5 linked regions of the Oryctolagus cuniculus genome follow. The protein of the gene in region 1 interacts with the protein of each later gene in a pairwise test. Links are inferred from orthologs where the notes say so. Each region holds a gene or a part of one and is shown on either strand. Other genes may lie near its edges.

Region 1 (3,514 bases):
GGGCCGCGGGTTTCAGCTGAGACAGAGGAAGCCAGGTTTGAGCTATTAATGCCCTCAATCCATCAACATGCCCTGAAGTATTTGGCTTCAGGAGCGAAACCCAATCTGCTATCGACGCGTCCCTGACTCCTTGTTCTGGATTTCCTGTTTCAGCCAGTGCGAAGCCGGGAGGGCTGGGATGTGGTCTCGGTTTCCTAACAGCACAGCTCCGAGGGCTTAGGATCCACTCCTGAGCACCAAGCACCATGGACAAGCACCTCTCTGTGCTTTGGAACTAGAAAGCCCTGTGTGAAAGGGGGGCCCCAGCTTGGAGCCAGAGCCCGAGTGTCCAGTCCCAGCTCGGCAACTTCCAGCTCCGTGCACGTTCACACAACGCTGGGGCTGACGTGCGGCCAACAACCTGTCCTTGCTGGGTGACCTCCGCCGCCGCCAGCCAGGCCCAGATAGATGCCCTGCTCATTAACAGGCGCCTGGCCTAGGGCCAGGCCTCTCTTACCTCAGGTCCATGGGAGACTGGGGGCTGGGCTGCCGCAGCTGCCACCGCCTGTGCACACTGTTGTTTCTCTGGCTGCGTGGCATCCGGCACAGCCCGCAGAGGTGACTGGGACCTCTGCGGCGCAGCGGCGGCTGCCTCGGTTCGGAATCGCTGTGCCCCAGGCTGGGAATAGACGTGGAAAGTGTGCGGCTGCCGGTTCTCAGCGCCTTCGTGGAGGACGGGGATGGGAATGTAGCCTGGTCGGAGCTGGGGGTACACAGGGTGGCCCTCCCTAGCGGGCAGCAGCCTGGCACCCTCCCGCGAGGGCCCATTGGCTGAGGATGGAGTCTCCTAAAGGGAAGAAACACAGATGGGTTAGAAACTGGTAAGAAAACGCTGCGAGAAGGCAACTGTGGCATCGAGAGCGTGATCTCCCAGAGTGCTCTGCACCCCAGAGTGTCAGCTGGGACGCGCCCAGCCCCCTGCCTCTGCCACCAGCTCTACTGCTGTCTGGGGGCATCAGGAGAGAGGTGAGCCAGGGTAGCTGTGGAGCACAGCGAGTTCCCAATTCCCAAACTGACAGCAGTGAATGAGAGCAGCCGACTGTCCCCAGATCTTCAGAGATCCAGACCAGAAGGTGGGCCCTTGGAAGCAGGGTCCAGCTGCAACCACCACCAATGTATAGCAAAAAAAAATTAATAAAAGATCACCTCCTAGATTTCCAGTCCAAACACAAACACAGAACACAGTTGGGAAGTCTTTGCAGAGAAGTGGGGTGGCACAGGCGCTGCCCCTGCAGCGATATGGTCAGGAACAACCAGAAAGGCAGGGCCAGCCGGGAGGGGAAGCATCTGGGGATTCCCTGAGCTCGGCTTCCACAAGGATTCTTTGCTCAAACTTTATTTCAGATTTCAGAACCTTCTTCTCCTAGGCCCATCAGCGCATTCCCCTGTAAGATCCAGTTTTAGCAGAAGAACCCTGCTCAGTTGGTTTAGCCAGAGTGCCCCACCCTGGATATCTGATCCACTTCCTCAGCCTCCAGGGTCTGCTCACGCCACAGGCCCGGCTGCAGCAAGAATCCTGTTAGGTAGGTTTGGCCAGAATCTCTCTGACCCTGACTTCCCCTTAGTCACTTTCTGTCCAGGGCCACACCCTGCTCCGCGGCTGTAAAGCCCCCCTTGCCCACATCGGTCTCTCTGCCCCGCCCCTGCCCGTTGCAGGCTTCCTTGTGGACCTCAGCCCAGGCCCCCGAGTCAGTCTCCTCTAGCATTACAGGGCCCACTCTTGCGAGCGGCGGCTGGGGACCCCCTCTTCCGTCCTCTCTCGCAGTCTCCCTTCAGTGGCCTGGCTATTTTGGGACCCTTGAGAAGGCCGCGTTCCAGATGCTCCGCAGGGAAAGATCTTATTTCAGACAAGGCCGGTGGGTCACTGGGCACTGCCATCTCTCAGCACACAGAGGCTGTGCAATGAAGCCCTGACCCCTTGGACTAGGGCTCCTTTCACGGGGTGGGGGAAGGGCACTGATCTGTGTCATCCGTACACATCCCAGTGCACAGACCCCTGAGCCCTTCCTGTAGGAGGAGTCTTGCTGAATGGCAAGCACACGTGGGGAATCTAAGCTTGCACAGTACAAGTCCCACTGGCGCAAAATCCACCAAAAGCGAGACAGACAACAAGGGCTGCTCTGCATTCTGAGTGCAGACAACACTAACTGCAATCCCGCTGAGACCCTGCCTAGGGCGGGCGTCCAGCACACAGAAAAGGCAAGGGTGTCGCCCTGTCCTTGGGGACACAGGCAGGCAGGCAGTCTCAGATTAGAATAGCCACGTGCTCAGGGCGGCAGCATTATTTTAGCCTGCTTAACTCTCAGGTCACCCAAGAGCAGGCAGTGGGTCTGGACGTCAGATTCGGAACCCAGTTCCTGCCGTGGGACAGGCAGTAAAAGGCAGCAGGCTGGAGGTGCTGAGAAAGCTTCGGCTGCTCCGCCGAGAGCCACAACACGCCCTCCCGGAGTGCCGTCCACCCCCAGCCCACCCCCACTTCCTTCCAGCTGCAATCTCGGCCTGCACGGCCGTGCGATGTCATCTCTGCGGGCTGCCTGCAGGCTCACTGCTTCTCCCCAGACACTGCACACTCCAGAGCCCAGCAGTCAGGACGCCTTCACCACGTGCTGGTGGGTCTCTCGGGCTCACCAAACCAGCAAGGCACCCTCTCTTGCAACAAGGAGCTTAGAAGATGGGTTAAGGGTGCCTGGGGCAAATATAAAGAGGCCTGAGGTACGGGGGAGATGGGGCTTTCAAGGGTGGAACCAGCCTGGATGGGAGCCAGCAACACTGAGCCTGCAGAGCTGCAGTGAGGTTTTGTAAGACCCATGAGAAGGGACGCAGGGGCCTGCGACAAACAGGAGCTCCCCCTACATAGGCACAAGACAGTGCCTGTCAGACTGGGGGGGGGGGCAGGGGGACGGGGGCACGGCAGCGGAACCAAGGTGAAGGACAATCAACAGTGACACAAGTCAAATGGTGGTCACCCCAGAGGAGAGGACATGGCCAGACAGGGGTCTGAAAGAACCTTCTGAGGTTCTGTCTTCTGGGGGCAGGAAATGGGTGTGCTCCTGTGAAAACCTGTCCAATAATACCTTCTCTGTAGTCCCGACACTGCCACCCCCTAGAATCCTTAGCTAGGCCTGGCTGAGCTCTCGGCTCTACCTGGAGAAAGCCCCTGTGTCCAGGAAGCTGGCCTTATCTGTATCTTACTGACCATATTCTGTACCTCAACTTTAAGAGACAAGAGAGGGGCCAGACAGTGGTTAAAGCCCCAGCCTGCAGTCCCGACATCCCATATGGGAGCCAGTGTGAGTCCTGGCTGCTCCTCTTCCAATCCAGCTCTCTGCTGTGGCCTGGGAAAGCAGCAGAAGATGGCCCAAGTTCTTGGGCCTCTGCACCCACGTGGGAGACCAGGAAGAAGCTCCTGGCTCCTGGCTTTGGATCAGCTCAACTCTGGCCGTTGCGGTAATTTGGGGAGTGAACCAATGGAATG
Region 2 (4,226 bases), on another chromosome or scaffold:
TGAAATGCCGGCATCCTATATGGGCGCCGGTTTGAGTCCCTGCTGCTCCACTTCCCATCCGGCTCTCTGCTGTGGCCTGAGAAAGCAGTGGAAGATGGCCCAAGGCCTTGGGTCCCTGCACCTGCGTGGGAGACCCGGAAGAAACTCCTGGCTCCTGGCTTTGGATCGGTGCAGCTCCGGCTGTTGCGGCCATTTGGGGAGTGAACCAGTGGATGGAAGACCTCTCTCTCTCTCTCTGTAACTCTTTCAAATAAATAAATAAATCTTTAAAAAAAAAAAAAAAGGCAACACTTGCCATGAACAGGAGAAAACCGACGCACAAGCGCGCCAAATACAACGCCGGGACACTCTGGCTCCACAGCGCAGTCCTGGAGCCAGGAGGGCTGAGCCAGCCTGGGGAGCCGTGACAGCCACGTTAGCTGGGAGCGAGGTGGGAGGGGCTACCCCCTGGAAAGAGCAGGGCGGGGCCTCCCACCGGCCCCTGCTCAGCGCGTGCTCCTCGCCCTTCAGGGGGTTCCTCTCTGGCCCCAGGGTTCCTTTTGCTTTTAGGCCTGGAAATCCCTGGAGCAGATGCCTGGGGGCTGTGGCTGGGCTGCAGGGGGCTCCCCTAAGGCTGCCTGCGTCTGCTTCACCCCCCTCCCCCCACAAGCCCCTCCAGCACTGGGAGGGGGGGGAGTGGGCACAGGGCCAGGCTGGCACAGGGCAGGGCCGACTGGGCCCCGGCAGGCCCGAGGGAGCAGGGGTGAGCTCATCCCCCGCCCTTAATTATCGTCTTGGCTAATGAGCAGCTGGGAACCTGCAGCCCGGCCCACAGGGAGGACCCTGGGGACCCTGGGCCAGATGTCACCCGGAGGCACCGGGAGGAAACTGCTCTGGGGGAAGGGACTTACACTTCCTGCCTCCTCCCAGCCAGGGATGACAGCGGGGCCGGGGCCGGGGCAGGCAGGACACTGGAGGGGCTCCAACCCCGGGCTGGGCACTGCTGTTCTGTGGCCTTCAGCAAACGACTCGGGCCCTCGCTGTGTTAAGTGTGGGGAACACTGCCCCGCCCTGGCCCCGCCTGGGGTGCTCGTGAGACCTGCAGACCACAGCCAGGGTCTGCTCTACGGCACCCTCCCCGGGTGCACACGCACCCTGGGGTGCCTCGGCTCCTCTTCCGTAGAATGGGTGTGAAATGTCTGTCCAGTTCCCAGCAAATGCCACCGGTACAATTCACAGTAACTTAGCATTACTGGAACATTCTAGACAAGAGGGGCTCAGAGGGCTGCTGCAGGTCCCCCATCCTCAGCCCACCCCCGAGGTGGGTTTCATGAGACCCACCCTGAAGACGAGGCACCCAAGGCTCTGGGGGTGCAGCAACGTGCCGGGGAAGTTCAAGTTCACGGCCCAACCCGTTCAACCCTAGCACTGACGGCACCAGCGAGTGGCCAGGAGGCCGTCCTCTGTGCCAAGCACTCGATGTGCTCACACCAGAGAAAACAGCACAGAGAGGTCAGGCTGCTTTTCCAAAGCCACACAGCATAAACGGCTGGACTCGAACCCTGGCAGTCTGCCAACTTCCATTACCACTTTCCCCCGAGAATCTGTTCCCCCAAGTGTCCCTGCCTGCCTGGCATCGCGACGCCAGCTCTGGCTCTGGGGTTCCAAGCCTGCCCTGCCCAGCTCTTACCACTAATGATGCTCTGCTGGCTGGAGGCTGGGACCGCAAAGGCCGCTGGAACTGGCTTTGTGGGAAGAACCTGTTTCCTGCCACTCTGGACTCCCAGGTGTGACGGACAGCCAGAGCACAGGGCAGCCAGCCTGTGTGCCTGGCGCTCCTCTGCAGAAAAGACAGAGAATGGAGCAGACCCAACCCAGGGAAAAGCTCATCACCACCCCCAACTCCCAAGGCCCTCCCTTGCTCTGCCCCCCAAATGTTTAATTTCACAAGGGGCAGGAGAGATGGGGAGGTGGGGCGGGGGGGGGGGGTTAGGAAAGCCCCTGCCAAGGAAGGGCCATTCAAGCTGAGATCAATGAAGTGGAGAAGTGGCACGGGCAGGAGCAAGTGGCATGGCAAAGGCACTGGGGCAGGAACAGCCTGGTGCTCTGACGGCGCGGGAGGAGAGCCCAGGCCGTGCAGGAGGGAGCCAGGGATGCCCGACGCCCTGGCCTGCAAGCTTCTGCCAGAGACAGGCAAAGAAGCTACCGGCGGACAAGCCGTCCAGCTCCCAGGAGCCCCAGGTCCACCAGCCCCTCTGGGCTCACCGGCCTTGCAGCACCCACCCCTCGAACGGGCCTCACTGGCCACGGCGAGCGCCCACTTGCAGCGACCAGCTGCTATGCCCACACTAACTGGGGCCTCTCCCAGCCGGGGGCGCAGGCCTGGAACCAAACCCTGGGATCCCTCCGCACCTCGCAGCGGTAAGGTGGGCTAGCTCCGTGGGGGTCTGTCTTGAGCTAAGCGTACTCACTGGTAGGACAGGGCTGGGCATCTGGTGGGCAGGGCGCCTGCTATTACGGTCAAAATAAGCAGGATGACACACTGTCAAGGGGGTGGAACTCTCTGGCTCCCGCTGCGCTGAGGCCTCCGGGGCAGCAGGCATGTGGCCGAGGTTCGATAAACCTTACGAATGAGTAAACGACCAGCTGGCTCCAGTCCCAAGCTCTTACCTGCCGGGCGCCTCAGTTTCCCCGTCGGTAAGCGCGCGGGAAGAGGACAGCCCGTGGGGCTGGGGTGAGGCTGGCGGAGGCACGGCGCTGACGGCGCGGCCCCAACCCACCAGCGCCCCCCGCCCCGCCCGCCGTCCCGCCAGCTGCGCGGAGCCCCCGCCCACGCCGGCCGCCCCGGCCCCGGCCCCGAGCGCACGTGACTCCGCCCCGGCCCGGCCCGCCCCGCCGTCCCAGCGCAGGCGCCTATTGGCCACGCCGGAGGTCCCCGCCCCCGTCCGGGGCGGAGCCTGAGGCGCCCCGCCCGCCGCAGAGCGGGGTTCCTGCGTCCCGACGGTGCGCGGCGGCCGGACCGGGCTGGCGGGCTGGCGGGCGGAGCCGGGCCCGCGGGGCTGCTGCGGGGCGACCGGGCCGGGGCTGCGGGCTGCGCCATGGTGAGCGGGGCCGGGCGGGCTGGGCGGTGCGCCAGGCGGGGGCTTGAGGGAGGGGAAGGGGCGGCCCCGGACGGGGTGGGGGCGCGCGCGCGGGCGCGCGGGGCGGCGGTGCCCCGGGCCTGGGTGGGAGGTGGTCTTCGCGGCGAGGGAGGGGCGGCCCGGGCCGGGGCGCGGCTGGCGGGAGGGAGGGTCTGTCTGTTCCGGGGGCCGCGCCCGCGGCGGGGGCTCTTTGTCCGCTGCGCTGCGGAGAGGTCGGGACAAAGGAGGCGGCGGGGGGCGGAGGCCGCCTCGCGGGGAGCGGTGCTCCAGCCCCCTGTGCACGCCCCCCGCCCAGGCCCGGGCCGGCCTCCGGGGCTCCCTGGGACACTTCGAGGATTTTCAAAATTGCTTCCAAGGCTTGGGTCCTGGCAGCCCCCAGCGCGGTCAGGCGGATTGCGGCGACGGAATCAGGCGGGAGTCAGGGGTCCGGGCGACGTCCGGCGCCTGGCGCGCGGGTGGGGAAACTGAGGCGGGCGCGGCTCCGTCGGCGGTGACGGCGTGGCGTGGGCAGGACTGGGTCTCGTGGCCGCCGACCCCCGCCCCAAGGCGGGCCGGCTCCAGCCGCCTCCAGCTGTCGCCCCCTCCCCAGCTGTCGCCCCCCCCGGCCGAGCCCCTGCGTCCCTGGCACCGGGCTTGCTGCTCCGTGCGGCGCGGGGACGCCGGCGGCCCCGCCAGGGTTAATGAGAGGGTGCGTGGAGCGCCTGGCACCCAGCCTGCTCGCCGCCCGCGCTCGCTGGCGTATGGGTGCTTGTCATCCTGAGTCCCGAGGGCGACCGCCCTGGGGTCAGCTGGTCCCAGGCCCCTCGGGCACCGGGGAGAGGAGCTGGGGGTGGGTGGGTGAAGACTGTGACAGTTTAGGGTCACGATTGGGAGCTGGAGTTCCGGCTGCAGGCCACCTGGGTGATTGGGTCTGTGCGCACCTACTTTTGAGCTGTGTGACCTTGGGTAGCTGACTTGACTTCTCTGAGCCTTAGCGCCTCCGTCTGCCACCCGCGGGGTGGTTTGGACGTGGGAAGGAGACATCTGCCCAAGGCATTAGTGCTGGCACACGGCGACTGCGCCAACTTTTCTCCAGCTTCCCCTGTTATTCCCAGAGTTGTTCAGCCT
Region 3 (3,514 bases), on another chromosome or scaffold:
CCCTACGCTACCTCCAGATCTTCGCCACCCGGAGATCCTGCATCGTGAGTCCCCGCGGGGGGTCTGAGGTGGGCCCCTGGGTGGCGCCCAGTGCTCTTCTGGGCGGTGAGCGCTGGGGACTAACCGGGTGCTTTGTGATCAGGATGAAGCCCAGATTTCCGCAGAGGAGCTGGAAGAACACGGGCGGATCCCAGACCCCGACGACTTCGTGCCGCCGGTGCCTCCGCCGTCCTATTTTGCTACATTTTACTCGTGTACTCCTCGGCTGAGCCGCAGGTATCCACCGACCCTCCCCCAGTGCCCCTGGGGGTGCTCTCCAAGCCCAAGCCCTGAGCGTTCCGGGACATCTGCAATGGAGGGGGTGGTTTTCCAGGGTTTGCTGCCCTCTTTGCCTCATTCTCTCTTTTGTCTGATAAAGCAGATGAATCCAAGAGAAGTCAAACCTTGACCTAAAGATAGGCTTTTCCACTTTCAGTTAGCTACTTAGGGAAAAGCGACACCCGGGGAGATAAGGGCTGTAATTTGACATGATTGAGAGTCGCTGTTGCCCTGGAAACGCTCCCCATCAGGCCAAATCGATGTTTCATTATAACACTGTCGGCAGCTCTGAGCAGTCCTGACATTCTTCCCAGCCATTAAGAAATGATTAATTATTCATTCCATCTTCCTCGGTGAGGAAAAATAGGCACCGTGCTTATTTTCTTTTTCAAATTCTAGCTCAGCATTGGTTTCTTACATCTGAGGAAGTAGTATTTGTAGAATGAACTATCACAGGAGTTCATCTGGTCGTTGGTGACATCTGGAATCAAAGCTCTCTAAAGTGTGACTTCATTTATTCATGCAACAGACATCATCACTCCTCTGCTGCTTCCTGCTGGCTGTGCTGGGTCATTGAAATTCAAAGTTAGACCTGCTTCCTCCCCTCCGAAGAGGAAGCACACCGGCTTGATCCGGGAAGGATCAGGGAAGCGCTCAAAAGAGGGATTCTGGGTGCAGAGAGGAGGTCTCCCTAAACTGAACTAGTGAGGTGTGTCAGTCAGTCAGGGATGACTTCCTGTAAGAAGTGACAATAAGCTGAGTGTCAAGGGTGAGCAGTCTTATATTTGAGCTTCCAAAAGAAAATCTCTGAGTTCCACAGAGAGACTAGCATCTTTTACTGAGAGGGCCAGAGATGTCTGTTTTTTTGTCCCTGTTTGGTGCCAGTTGAGGGCTTTGGGGAGCAGTTTTCCTGAGTTTGGGGCAGGTGTGTGTGACTTGGAGATGGAACTCACCCAGATGCCATTAGCATTCCTTCCACCTGTCTCTCGAGTCAACAGGAGCCCCCCCACCCCGTTCCCCCTGCTGCATCCCCTCCCTGCCCTCCAGCCCAGGCAGGAGCCCGAGGATGCTCAGCTGACTCAGCTGGGGGGACAGATGGCACAGGGCAGGCCCATGGGACAGCTCAGCCTCTCTGTCGTGCAGGGAGGGACCTCCTGGAATCCCAGAGCTTCTGGGGCCAGGAGGGCTCCCTGGTGTTTCAGGAAACCAGCCAAGGGTTAGGGAGGCCAAGGAGACTTCAAGGAGACCTGCCTCTCCTCTCTGCACCTTGTGCGGCCTGCAGAGGGTGTCCCAGACTGGCCGGTAGGTTGTTGTTGGGGAGAGAAACACCCTCTTCACACTGAACTCCTTGGCTCGCTGAGGCTGTGGCTGGGCATCTGGTTGACCTCAGAGGAGGCCCAGATTCCGTTTCCTGCTGCCGCAGAAAGGGAAAGTGACTCATGTGGGTTTCGGAGCGCAGCCCATCGCGCACACTCCCTGACCTTGCTTTCTCCTCTCTTTCTGTTCTCTTCGCTGCTCCACCGGAATCCTGCTCTTTCCGTGGCTCGCTCCACTCTCAGAGGACCTGGGTGCCTCCTGGGGTTCGTCCCGGTGAGCCCTGGGACAGCCCCTGGGCGACAGCAGACAAACCTTTTCTACCTAGATCTCTCCAGAAGGCAGGCAAGGGGCGGGGGTGCCCGCAAAACGCCCCTGTGCCGGGTCTGTGGCGCCAGCCTGGAGCCCCAGGAGCGAGCACCCCATAGTGTTAGGGTGCAGCCCACCTTCCTTCTTCAGAGAGCTACGCTTACTCACTTTGGATGCATAGTCCATTAAGATGTTTCTAGATTGGACCGCCTTGGCCAGCCTCACGACAAGTTGACCTTACAGCCACTGGCCGTGAACACCAGTTGGTGGGTGGCTAGGCGAACGTCTTCCTACTGCTTTCACCCATAGTTGCCATTGAGTTTTCATAGGCAGAGGCTCTGCATTTCCTGTGAGCTACCCTGACCTCCCAGAAGAGGTTTATTTATTGAACTTCTATAAATACAGCCGCTCCTAGCATGGGTATCTCCTTGAGGAAGGGCTTCTCAAGTTACTGTCAGAAACAGAAGTCTGATTGCAGCAGAGGCTTCTCTCCTTTGTAAGCCCAGGACGGGGCGGCCCTCACCCCCTCCACTACTCCAGGGTGGCCCCGGGTCTAAGAAATTGGCCCGTGCCAGGAATCCAAAAGGCAGCAACTGTGTCTCCGTGTGCCTCCGGCCCGGGTACAGCAGAGAAGCCAGCAAAACCAGCAAAGGCTTCCTGGAGACTTGGTTGAGAGAGCCTAGGCTCTGGGGTCTCCTTGGGCAGGTTTCTTACCATTTCTGTGCCTGTCTCCCCATTCACCTGGTTGTGACATGACTGCTGGGAACATTGTTACAAGATAATGGACATACAGAACCTTTTACTGATAAAAGCTTAGACCATTGTCTTAGTCCATTTGTCCTGCTGTAGCAGGGTGCCACAGCTTGGGTAATTTACCAAGAACAGAAACTTATTCATCCCAGTTCTGGAGACTGAGAAGTTCAAGGTCAAGTTCAAGGTCAAGGTGCCAATATTGGGTTTTCCAAGGCGGTGGTGCCTGATGGCTGAGTCCCCCAGAGGGAAGGAGCGTTGTGTGCTCCTGCGGCCGGAGATCAAAGGAGAACCTGCTCCCTGGAGCCCTGTTCACATGGCCTTAACCCATTCGTCAGGGCAGAGCCACGTGACCTAAACTCCTGCTGAAAACTCTACCTCCCGACGTAGTTGCATGGGGATTAGGTTTCCTACACGTGAGTCAGGGGGACACATTCAGATCCTTGCAACCATGCTCCCCCATCACTGGTTCACGATTCCACATGCTCTTGGTGTGCCTACTTCTCTCAGGAATATTTGCCCTTATCTTACCAGGCAGCAGAATTTTAAAGACTTCATTACTATAAAAAAAAAAAATCTGAGCAACTGTCCCAGATGGAACAGGGCTCAACTGCAGCCACCATGGCCCATTGTCTTTTTTTTTTTTTTAATTTGACAGGTAGAGTTATAGACAGTGAGAGAGAGAGACAGAGAGAAAGGTCTTCCTTCTGTTGGTTCACCCCCCAGATGGCCACTATGGCCGGAGCTACGCCGATCCGAGGCCAGGAGCCAGGTGCTTCCTCCTGGTCTCCCATGTGGGTGCAGGGCCCAAGCACTTGGGCCA
Region 4 (4,038 bases), on another chromosome or scaffold:
GGCTCCATCTACCCAAACATACTACGCAGAAGAATCTAAAACGTATGGACACAGCCGTAGCCAAAAACCTTCCCAAGAATTCCTGGTTACGTATATGTGGCTTCAGATTCCCATCTTTTTCTGTCTTTCTATAGCTCTCCTGACAGCAGCTCTGCGGAGGCCAGTAATCTACACGAGTTTGTGCTGTTACACTCTGCATCCCAGTGGGGCGTGACGCAGGCTCTGCTATTTCTTACCGAAACACTCACAATCAAAAAAGACAAATGTACCTATTAGGATGCACGGGAATGACTAGGCTGAACAGTCCAGCGGACAACCGCGGCTCCGCAGAATCCGCATCCTCACTGATGCTAAGAATTATGCTTTCCACACGCTGCATCTCGCTCCTTCAAACCATCGCTCGCGCTCCAGCAACTCCCCACCAAGGCTGTGCGCCGAGCCGCCACCGTGCCACCTGCCTTCTGCAAGGTGGCACTGTGGACGCGAGGGCTGCAGCCGCGCACCCTGCACCCTGACTCCGGCCACGGCTGGCGTCCCTAACAAGGACCTCGGCTTCCTCGGGGGAAGCGGGCCGCCTGCCCCCAACGTCGCCAGCGACTCGCTCGGGGTAGCCGGAGCCGGCACAGCCCCCCGAGGGGACGGGACCTACGCCTCTTCCTCGCTGCCTTAGGGCGTCCGCTCCGCAGGCCCCCTTTTGGCCTCCAGGGAGCTCACTTCCACCCCGTCTACAGCCATCTACGGACGCGCATAAAATCCACGCCGAGACTGCTCTCGTCTGTGACCACGATTCCTGGCCCGGTTTTCAGGACTTTTTTTTTTTTTCCTCCCGAAAGTCGTTAGCTCAGGCTCAGCCACCCAGCCGCTGGCCCGACCGGTTTCTCCCCCTTCCTCCTCCTCCCAGGCAGGCGGCGGGCGAATCCGCGCAGCGCCGCTAACGCGTGCGCCGGCCCGGCCGCCCCTCCACGCGGCCCGCGGTCCCTCAGCGCCCCGCCGGCGGTCGCTCTGTCAGAGGCCGCCCGGCCAGCGGCTCCGGGGAGCACGCCGGGGCTTTCCGGCAGCCCGCCCGCCAATGGGAGCCCACAATGCAGCGAAGTCCGGCCGGGCCTCCCGGCAGCGCCCGTGCCGGCTTCCCCGGCTCCACGCCTACTGTACCCGCGCGCGTGCCCGGCGAGGGCGCGAGCGCGGCGCGGCGCGGCGCGGCGGGGGCGCGCGCCCGGGGGGCCGGCGGCCGCGGCGGCGTGCGCGTGCGCACTGGGGTTGTTTTTCACAAAGCTGCTCTTAAAGTGAGCTGGCAGGCTCCGGCCGCCCGTCTTTGTAAGGAGACCACTGAGACGGGCGGGCGCGCGGAGCCGCCGCCGCAGCCTCTCTGCTGCCCTGACTTTTAAGAGCTCTCAATGAACTGTCTGTAAGGAGCTACTGATCCTGCCTGCAAGGGTTTGCATTTTTGCACGGCAGAAGCATCGATCAGTGTTGAGTGAAGATCCCATTTTATATGCGATCTTGACTTTTTTGGGGGTCTTACATTATATTTTTTATAGATTTTTGTTATCAACATGGTGCTGGGGAAGGTGAAGAATTTGACAATAAGCTTCGACTGTCTGAATGACAGCAATGTCCCCGTGTATTCCAGCGGGGATACTGTCTCAGGAAGGGTGAATTTAGAAGTTACTGGGGAAATCAGAGTAAAATCGCTTAAAATTCATGCAAGAGGACATGCGAAAGTACGCTGGACGGAGTCTAGAAACGCCGGCTCCAATACTGCCTACACGCAGAACTACACCGAAGAAGTAGAATACTTCAACCATAAAGACATCTTAATTGGGCACGAAAGAGGTAAGTTTTCCTACCATTCGGCAGTCTGCAGGCTGGCTTTCTCGGGTGGACGTGGTTCTCGCAGCGTAGCTCGGCCGTTTGCTGGAGGCTAGCAAAGTTGCGAGGTTTGGGTTCTCCTTGACGGGAGGCTGTAATGCGTGCCGGCATCTGCAAAGCGACTGCAAACTGCACCTCGTCTCCACCACCCCTGGACCCGGCTCGGGCTGTGCCATACGCACTTGCGGTCCATTTGCACCTCACTCGGAAATTCTGCTTGCCTCCGAGTCCATGATTTTACTGCTACGTTTTCAAATGAATTGATGAAAGCTGCGGTCCGGCATCAGATTTTTAAAATTTTTTCCTTTTTCTTTGCAACCTTAGCTCAAAACCTGAGCTTGAAGGAAGGAATGAAATAACATTTTAGGAGGGTTAGTAGATGTGTTTCCTTTTAATATTAACGTGCAAAGGACTTTATAAGGAATTGATCATTGTTCTTTGAGAGAGGGTTTCCCTGGCTTATTTTGACATATGGTATTACCAACACCCCACGTGTTTTTTTTTTTTTTTAACCTCTTCTTTCCAATGCTTTGGGAATTTTGCATCAAGCATTCCTTATTTTAAAAGACAGTATCTATCACCGTGGCCGGTGTTCAGTCAGGTTCAGAAGCCATTCAGGGCCAGCAGTTTCTTCTCCAAGCATCATGTCTAACTTTGGAACGTGCATTCAATGAAACCCTGCCAGTCCAATGGAATTGAAAAGTAGACCGCACACTGGACTTGATTTTTGGTTAGAAGGGGGAGATGGAGGGTTGTCAAAGGGAGAGGGGGTCCTGAGATTTCCCCTCTATTGTTTAGATGGCTACATTGTGGAAATATAGGAGACTCTAAGCTTGTTTTTCTAAGTTTCCACCCTTTGTTAGAAGCGGTTCAATCCTGTTTCGGACCAGTTCTGGGGGGTGGTGAGGAGGGGCGCTTGTGCAGCTCTCAGCAGATTGGTTACACGCGTCAGGTGGTGGCGATGACTTAATTCTAGCCCAAGAAGAATATAATGTTAAAACTGGTTATGTAATTTTGTGCTTCTCCTTTTTAATGCAGTATTTAGTGCAAATGCTGACTTTTTCAGAAAGAGGCTCGCTTTTATCTGCGTTTTTATATTCAAGATATACATCCCAGGGAAATGCTAATTGAATTAAGGGAAGGGAGAAATAAAGGAAGCGTTGAGTTACAGCATTATTGCATTTTTTTTTTAAATGCTCAGGTGAAATCAGTTCTTCGGCAGGGTTTCCACAGTTCACCTAGGTGGTTTTGCATCTTGAAGTAATTTCTAGTTCATCTTCCCAAGCGTTAACTCTGATAGGAAATGCAAAGCGCCTGATGACAGTTCTGCTGTGTGCTGCAAAGCGCACACGCGAGTTTGATTTCGAGCCTTTTATAAAATGAGAAGAAACAAAAGGTTTTTCTCTCAAGAGTTGAGCCTTGCAGTGAAGGGAAAGTAGAACAATGCGTTGGGGCGGAAAGCAAGGTCGTTAGCTGCACCTCGACTTCGTGGTGAGGAAAACCGAACGCCCCGCACCCAGCCGGGCGCCCCCCGAAGCCGGCCACGCGTGGACGAGCTTCTGCCTGGAGTAGTTTCAATGACTTTAGCTGAGAGCTCTCACACGAGCCTGGCAGCGGAGGCCCCGCCCCGGGCGGCCGGCGAGGGGCGGGGCCAGGTTTGTTAGCCTGTTGCTAAGGCGATGCCGGGCGCTGATTGGATTGGGCCGGCGCGGGTGGGGAGAGTGGGCTCCGGCCGGCTGGGGCGCGGCTTGGAACCGGCGTGCGCCGGTAAAGGTCCCTCCCGAGCGGCCGCCCCCGCCCGCGCTCGCGCGAGTGCGTTCCCGGGCTTCCGTGGGCTCCCGGGGCCCGCGTCGCGGCATGCCCTGCTGCTGTCCCTCTCTCCGGCCTGTTGGGGCCACGAGGGGGACGCCTCGTACGGGGCGCCAGCCGCTGCCGGCTTTCACAGGTGCAGAGTCGCCCTGGGCGCAACTTTTGGCCAGAGACCCTCGTAGAGGGGGCTGGCGTGAGGAGAGCGAGCGGGACCCCCGAGGTCGCGGGCGACGTGTCGGAGTGGCTCCCTTTCCTCTCGGCTGCCACAGACATGTGCCGACTGTCCAGTCAGCAGTCTGGCTACCTTGACGTGACCTGAGGGGGAGTCTGGCACTGGCTGGCCAGGGCAAAGAAAAGTGG
Region 5 (2,885 bases), on another chromosome or scaffold:
AGACCCGGAGGAGGCTCCTGGCTCCTGGCTTCGGATCGGCACAGCTCTGGCCATTGCAGCCTATTGAGGAGTGAACCATCAGATGGAAGACCTTTCTCTTTCTCTGCCTCTTTTCTCTCTGTGAATAAAAAGAAAAAAAAGAAAAAAAAAAACAAAAAAAACCTAGGGAGTCCAAATGGATTGTGCGCTCACCTTTGCCTCTCTACTGAGCCGCCCTCCTGGCCTGCCCAGGTGTAATTCTCTCTTTTCAACCTTGTAACCTCGCTCTCCCCCAGTTTCAGCGACTGGGCACTCTGTCTCTTCCGTTCAAAAAAAATTTCTTTATGTAATTATTTATTTGAAAGGCAGAGTTACAAAGAAGATGAGACAGAGAAAGAGAGCTTCCATCTACTAGTTCAAATGGCTGCAATGGCCAGGGCTGGATCAGGCCAAAACCAGGAGCCAGGAACTCCATTTGTGTCTCCCATGTGGGTGAGCAAGGACCCAAGTACTTGGACCATCGTCTGCAGCTTTCCCGGGCTCACTAGCAGGGATCTGAAGTGGAGCAGTCAGAACTTGAGCCTTTGCTCCATGTGGGATGCTGGAGTTACCAGCAGCTGCTTGACTTGCTGTGCCACAGTGCGGGGCCCTCCCCCTTCAAACCTATTCTATAAGTCTTCCGTATTTTTCAGGTGCATAATTCATGAGTCTAGGGCTGTGTTTGATTATTCCCTGTCACCTCACTTCCTGCTTTTAAATATTAATTTTATTTATTTGAAAGGCAGAACTACAGAGAAATCAATCTTCATCTGCTGGTTTACTCCCCAAATGGCTGCAACGTCCTGGGCTGTGCCAGGCCAAAGCCAGGAGCCAGAAGCTTCATCTGGGTCTCAAACTGGCGCCCATAAGGATGCCAGCATTGTAGACAGCACTTAACCTGCTGTGCCACAGCACTGCGCCCTCGCCTCACTTGTCATACGAACTCTTAGACTTGTGGTATCTGCCTCCCCTGCCAGTGCCCTAGTGCAAGCTCTTAGTCCCTTGTTATTTCACACTTAACTGTGCTGATCTCTTGCCACTTTGATTACAGTGTTGTCCTGAATCTATTTTCCCAGATGTTTTTCCGCCAGGTATTCAGATACCCTTTCTCAAAATTCTGTTGTGCCCTTCTACCTGCAGAGTAAAGCTTCCCCACACACTCAGTACCGTGGCTTTCAGGGCGTTTCCTGATCTGGTCCTGCCATCACCCCCATAGCCACTGCTCCAGATTATTGCTGAGTTACTGGTATTTGCCGAGACGAGACGTCTGTGCTCTTTGACACGCCTGTGATTCTCAAATGCTCACCTTTCTGCCTTGGACAGTTTGTTTCCATGTTCTCATCCTCCTGAAACATTCTGTCCTTTAGGTGGCTGTTGGGGCAGCCTGTCCTGTCAGTGGAGTAATCCCTCCAGTGGTTACACACTTGTGCATTACTATTCCAGTGCCTGGGTCATTGAGGAACCATGACGTGCGGTGGTTTGTCCTGTTGGGGTGGGAGCAGGGACAGGAGCACCTTGGATTTTCTAGCCCCTTCTCTTCCTGATGTCATTTTCTTTCTCATGTTGCTCTCTTCTCCATCTTTGTTCTCTTCCTGATTTTCCCCTTGTCTCTTATTTTCACAGGGATGTCTCAGATGCAGCTGGCCCACCATGGCCCTCATGGCTTAGGACACCCCCATGCTGGGCCCCCAGGCTCTGGGGGACAGCCACCACCACGCCCACCTCCTGGAATGCCTCATCCTGGACCTCCTCCAATGGGCATGCCCCCCAGAGGACCTCCGTTTGGATCTCCCATGGGTGAGTGGGCTGTAGCCTCCTCCTGTCTGCATATGTATCATTCTCACAGCTTTCTTTGTCAGCTTTCCCATGCCTGTTCTTTTCTTTCTCACGTTTCTTTAAGTCACTTTTTCCTCTTCCCACAGGTCTTCCAACATCAACTGTCTCCTGTAACTCACTGCTACTAATTTCTGTTTCCCTTTTTGCAGGTCACCCAGGCCCTATGCCTCCACATGGTATGCGAGGACCCCCTCCACTGATGCCGCCTCATGGGTACACTGGTCCTCCACGGCCCCCGCCCTATGGCTACCAGCGGGGCCCCCTTCCTCCACCCAGACCCACTCCCCGGCCTCCAGTTCCCCCTCGAGGCCCACTTCGGGGCCCTCTTCCTCAATAAACTCCAATTCTCCTTCCTATTATTTTCAGCTGAAGTTTTTTCGATTCCTTGGACCAATCAGAGTTGCTGTAGCTAGCTTCTCTGAGCTCTCCATTTTTAATGTAATTTTTCCCCACAAGATTTTTCCTTTTTTATGTTGGTCCTAAGTGTTTTGCAAATGCACATGGAAAATAAAACTGTACTTGTTTATTCTTTGTGGTGTTATCCTTGGCAAAGTAACTTTTCTCTTTTTCTCCAAGAAGTGTCGGGTCTTGTGAGAGAAATGGTAAGGATTCTGTGATGTGCCGTTGGAATAGCTGGTCTCTGAGGTGCCCTGGAGTGGCTATTTCCTTGCATAGAGCTTATCTCTAGTTTATCCCATGGGGTCCCAGTATCTCGAACATAAGAGTATTATAGTAAGATGAGAAAAGAAGTAAGATGCCTAGAGATAGGCTGGCATAAATAGCAAGTAGAATGCACAAAGCTGTTCATTGTAACTCTCTTTGTGGTAAGAGGAGATTGGTAACACCTCACATATCCATCTGGTTTGACAAATAACAACACTGCCTGGTGTTGGAGGCAGGCTGAGGTCGGAGCTGGTTCGGATCATAGCTTTTCAACTCCTCCACAGTGAGGTACAGAACCATTGGAAACATCGAGGTAAAGGAGGAGAGCACTTGGGGCTGCAGGTTCTTGGCTCGGAATTCCAGCTGCT

What was found.
Region 2: the proteins of BAG3 (region 1) and LITAF interact in binary tests that used the Homo sapiens proteins (3 or more experiments, as listed by UniProt). The two-hybrid records come from large-scale screens. The link is inferred for Oryctolagus cuniculus from reciprocal best matches to the Homo sapiens genes BAG3 and LITAF.
Region 3: the proteins of BAG3 (region 1) and ENTREP1 interact in a two-hybrid assay, tested with the Homo sapiens proteins (2 studies listed by BioGRID and IntAct). The link is inferred for Oryctolagus cuniculus from reciprocal best matches to the Homo sapiens genes BAG3 and ENTREP1.
Region 4: the proteins of BAG3 (region 1) and ARRDC3 interact in binary tests that used the Homo sapiens proteins (3 or more experiments, as listed by UniProt). The two-hybrid records come from large-scale screens. The link is inferred for Oryctolagus cuniculus from reciprocal best matches to the Homo sapiens genes BAG3 and ARRDC3.
Region 5: the proteins of BAG3 (region 1) and SF3B4 interact in binary tests that used the Homo sapiens proteins (3 or more experiments, as listed by UniProt). The two-hybrid records come from large-scale screens. The link is inferred for Oryctolagus cuniculus from reciprocal best matches to the Homo sapiens genes BAG3 and SF3B4.

The regions. Positions count from the first base shown.
Region 1 is NC_091446.1:11,052,121-11,055,634, forward strand, and holds part of BAG3 (BAG family molecular chaperone regulator 3), read right to left. Parts: intron 827-3,514; coding exon 497-826; intron 1-496. UniProt on the Homo sapiens protein: Co-chaperone and adapter protein that connects different classes of molecular chaperones including heat shock proteins 70 (HSP70s), e.g. HSPA1A/HSP70 or HSPA8/HSC70, and small heat shock proteins (sHSPs), e.g. HSPB8.
Region 2 is NC_091450.1:25,061,925-25,066,150, reverse strand, and holds the start of LITAF (lipopolysaccharide-induced tumor necrosis factor-alpha factor), read right to left. Parts: upstream 2,803-4,226; 5' UTR 2,650-2,802; intron 1,820-2,649; 5' UTR 1,670-1,819; intron 1-1,669.
Region 3 is NC_091432.1:161,052,862-161,056,375, reverse strand, and holds part of ENTREP1 (endosomal transmembrane epsin interactor 1), read left to right. Parts: coding exon 1-44; intron 45-142; coding exon 143-276; intron 277-3,514. UniProt on the Homo sapiens protein: Functions as an activator of the E3 ubiquitin protein ligase ITCH in the ubiquitination of the CXCL12-activated CXCR4 receptor. Thereby, triggers CXCR4 endocytosis and desensitization, negatively regulating the CXCL12/CXCR4 signaling pathway.
Region 4 is NC_091445.1:14,128,075-14,132,112, reverse strand, and holds the start of ARRDC3 (arrestin domain-containing protein 3), read left to right. Parts: upstream 1-1,226; 5' UTR 1,227-1,553; coding exon 1,554-1,833; intron 1,834-3,645; exon of another isoform or gene 3,646-3,726; coding exon of another isoform or gene 3,727-3,814; intron 3,815-4,038. UniProt on the Homo sapiens protein: Adapter protein that plays a role in regulating cell-surface expression of adrenergic receptors and probably also other G protein-coupled receptors.
Region 5 is NC_091438.1:48,030,195-48,033,079, forward strand, and holds the end of SF3B4 (splicing factor 3B subunit 4), read left to right. Parts: intron 1-1,641; coding exon 1,642-1,815; intron 1,816-2,003; coding exon 2,004-2,191; 3' UTR 2,192-2,383; downstream 2,384-2,885. UniProt on the Homo sapiens protein: Component of the 17S U2 SnRNP complex of the spliceosome, a large ribonucleoprotein complex that removes introns from transcribed pre-mRNAs.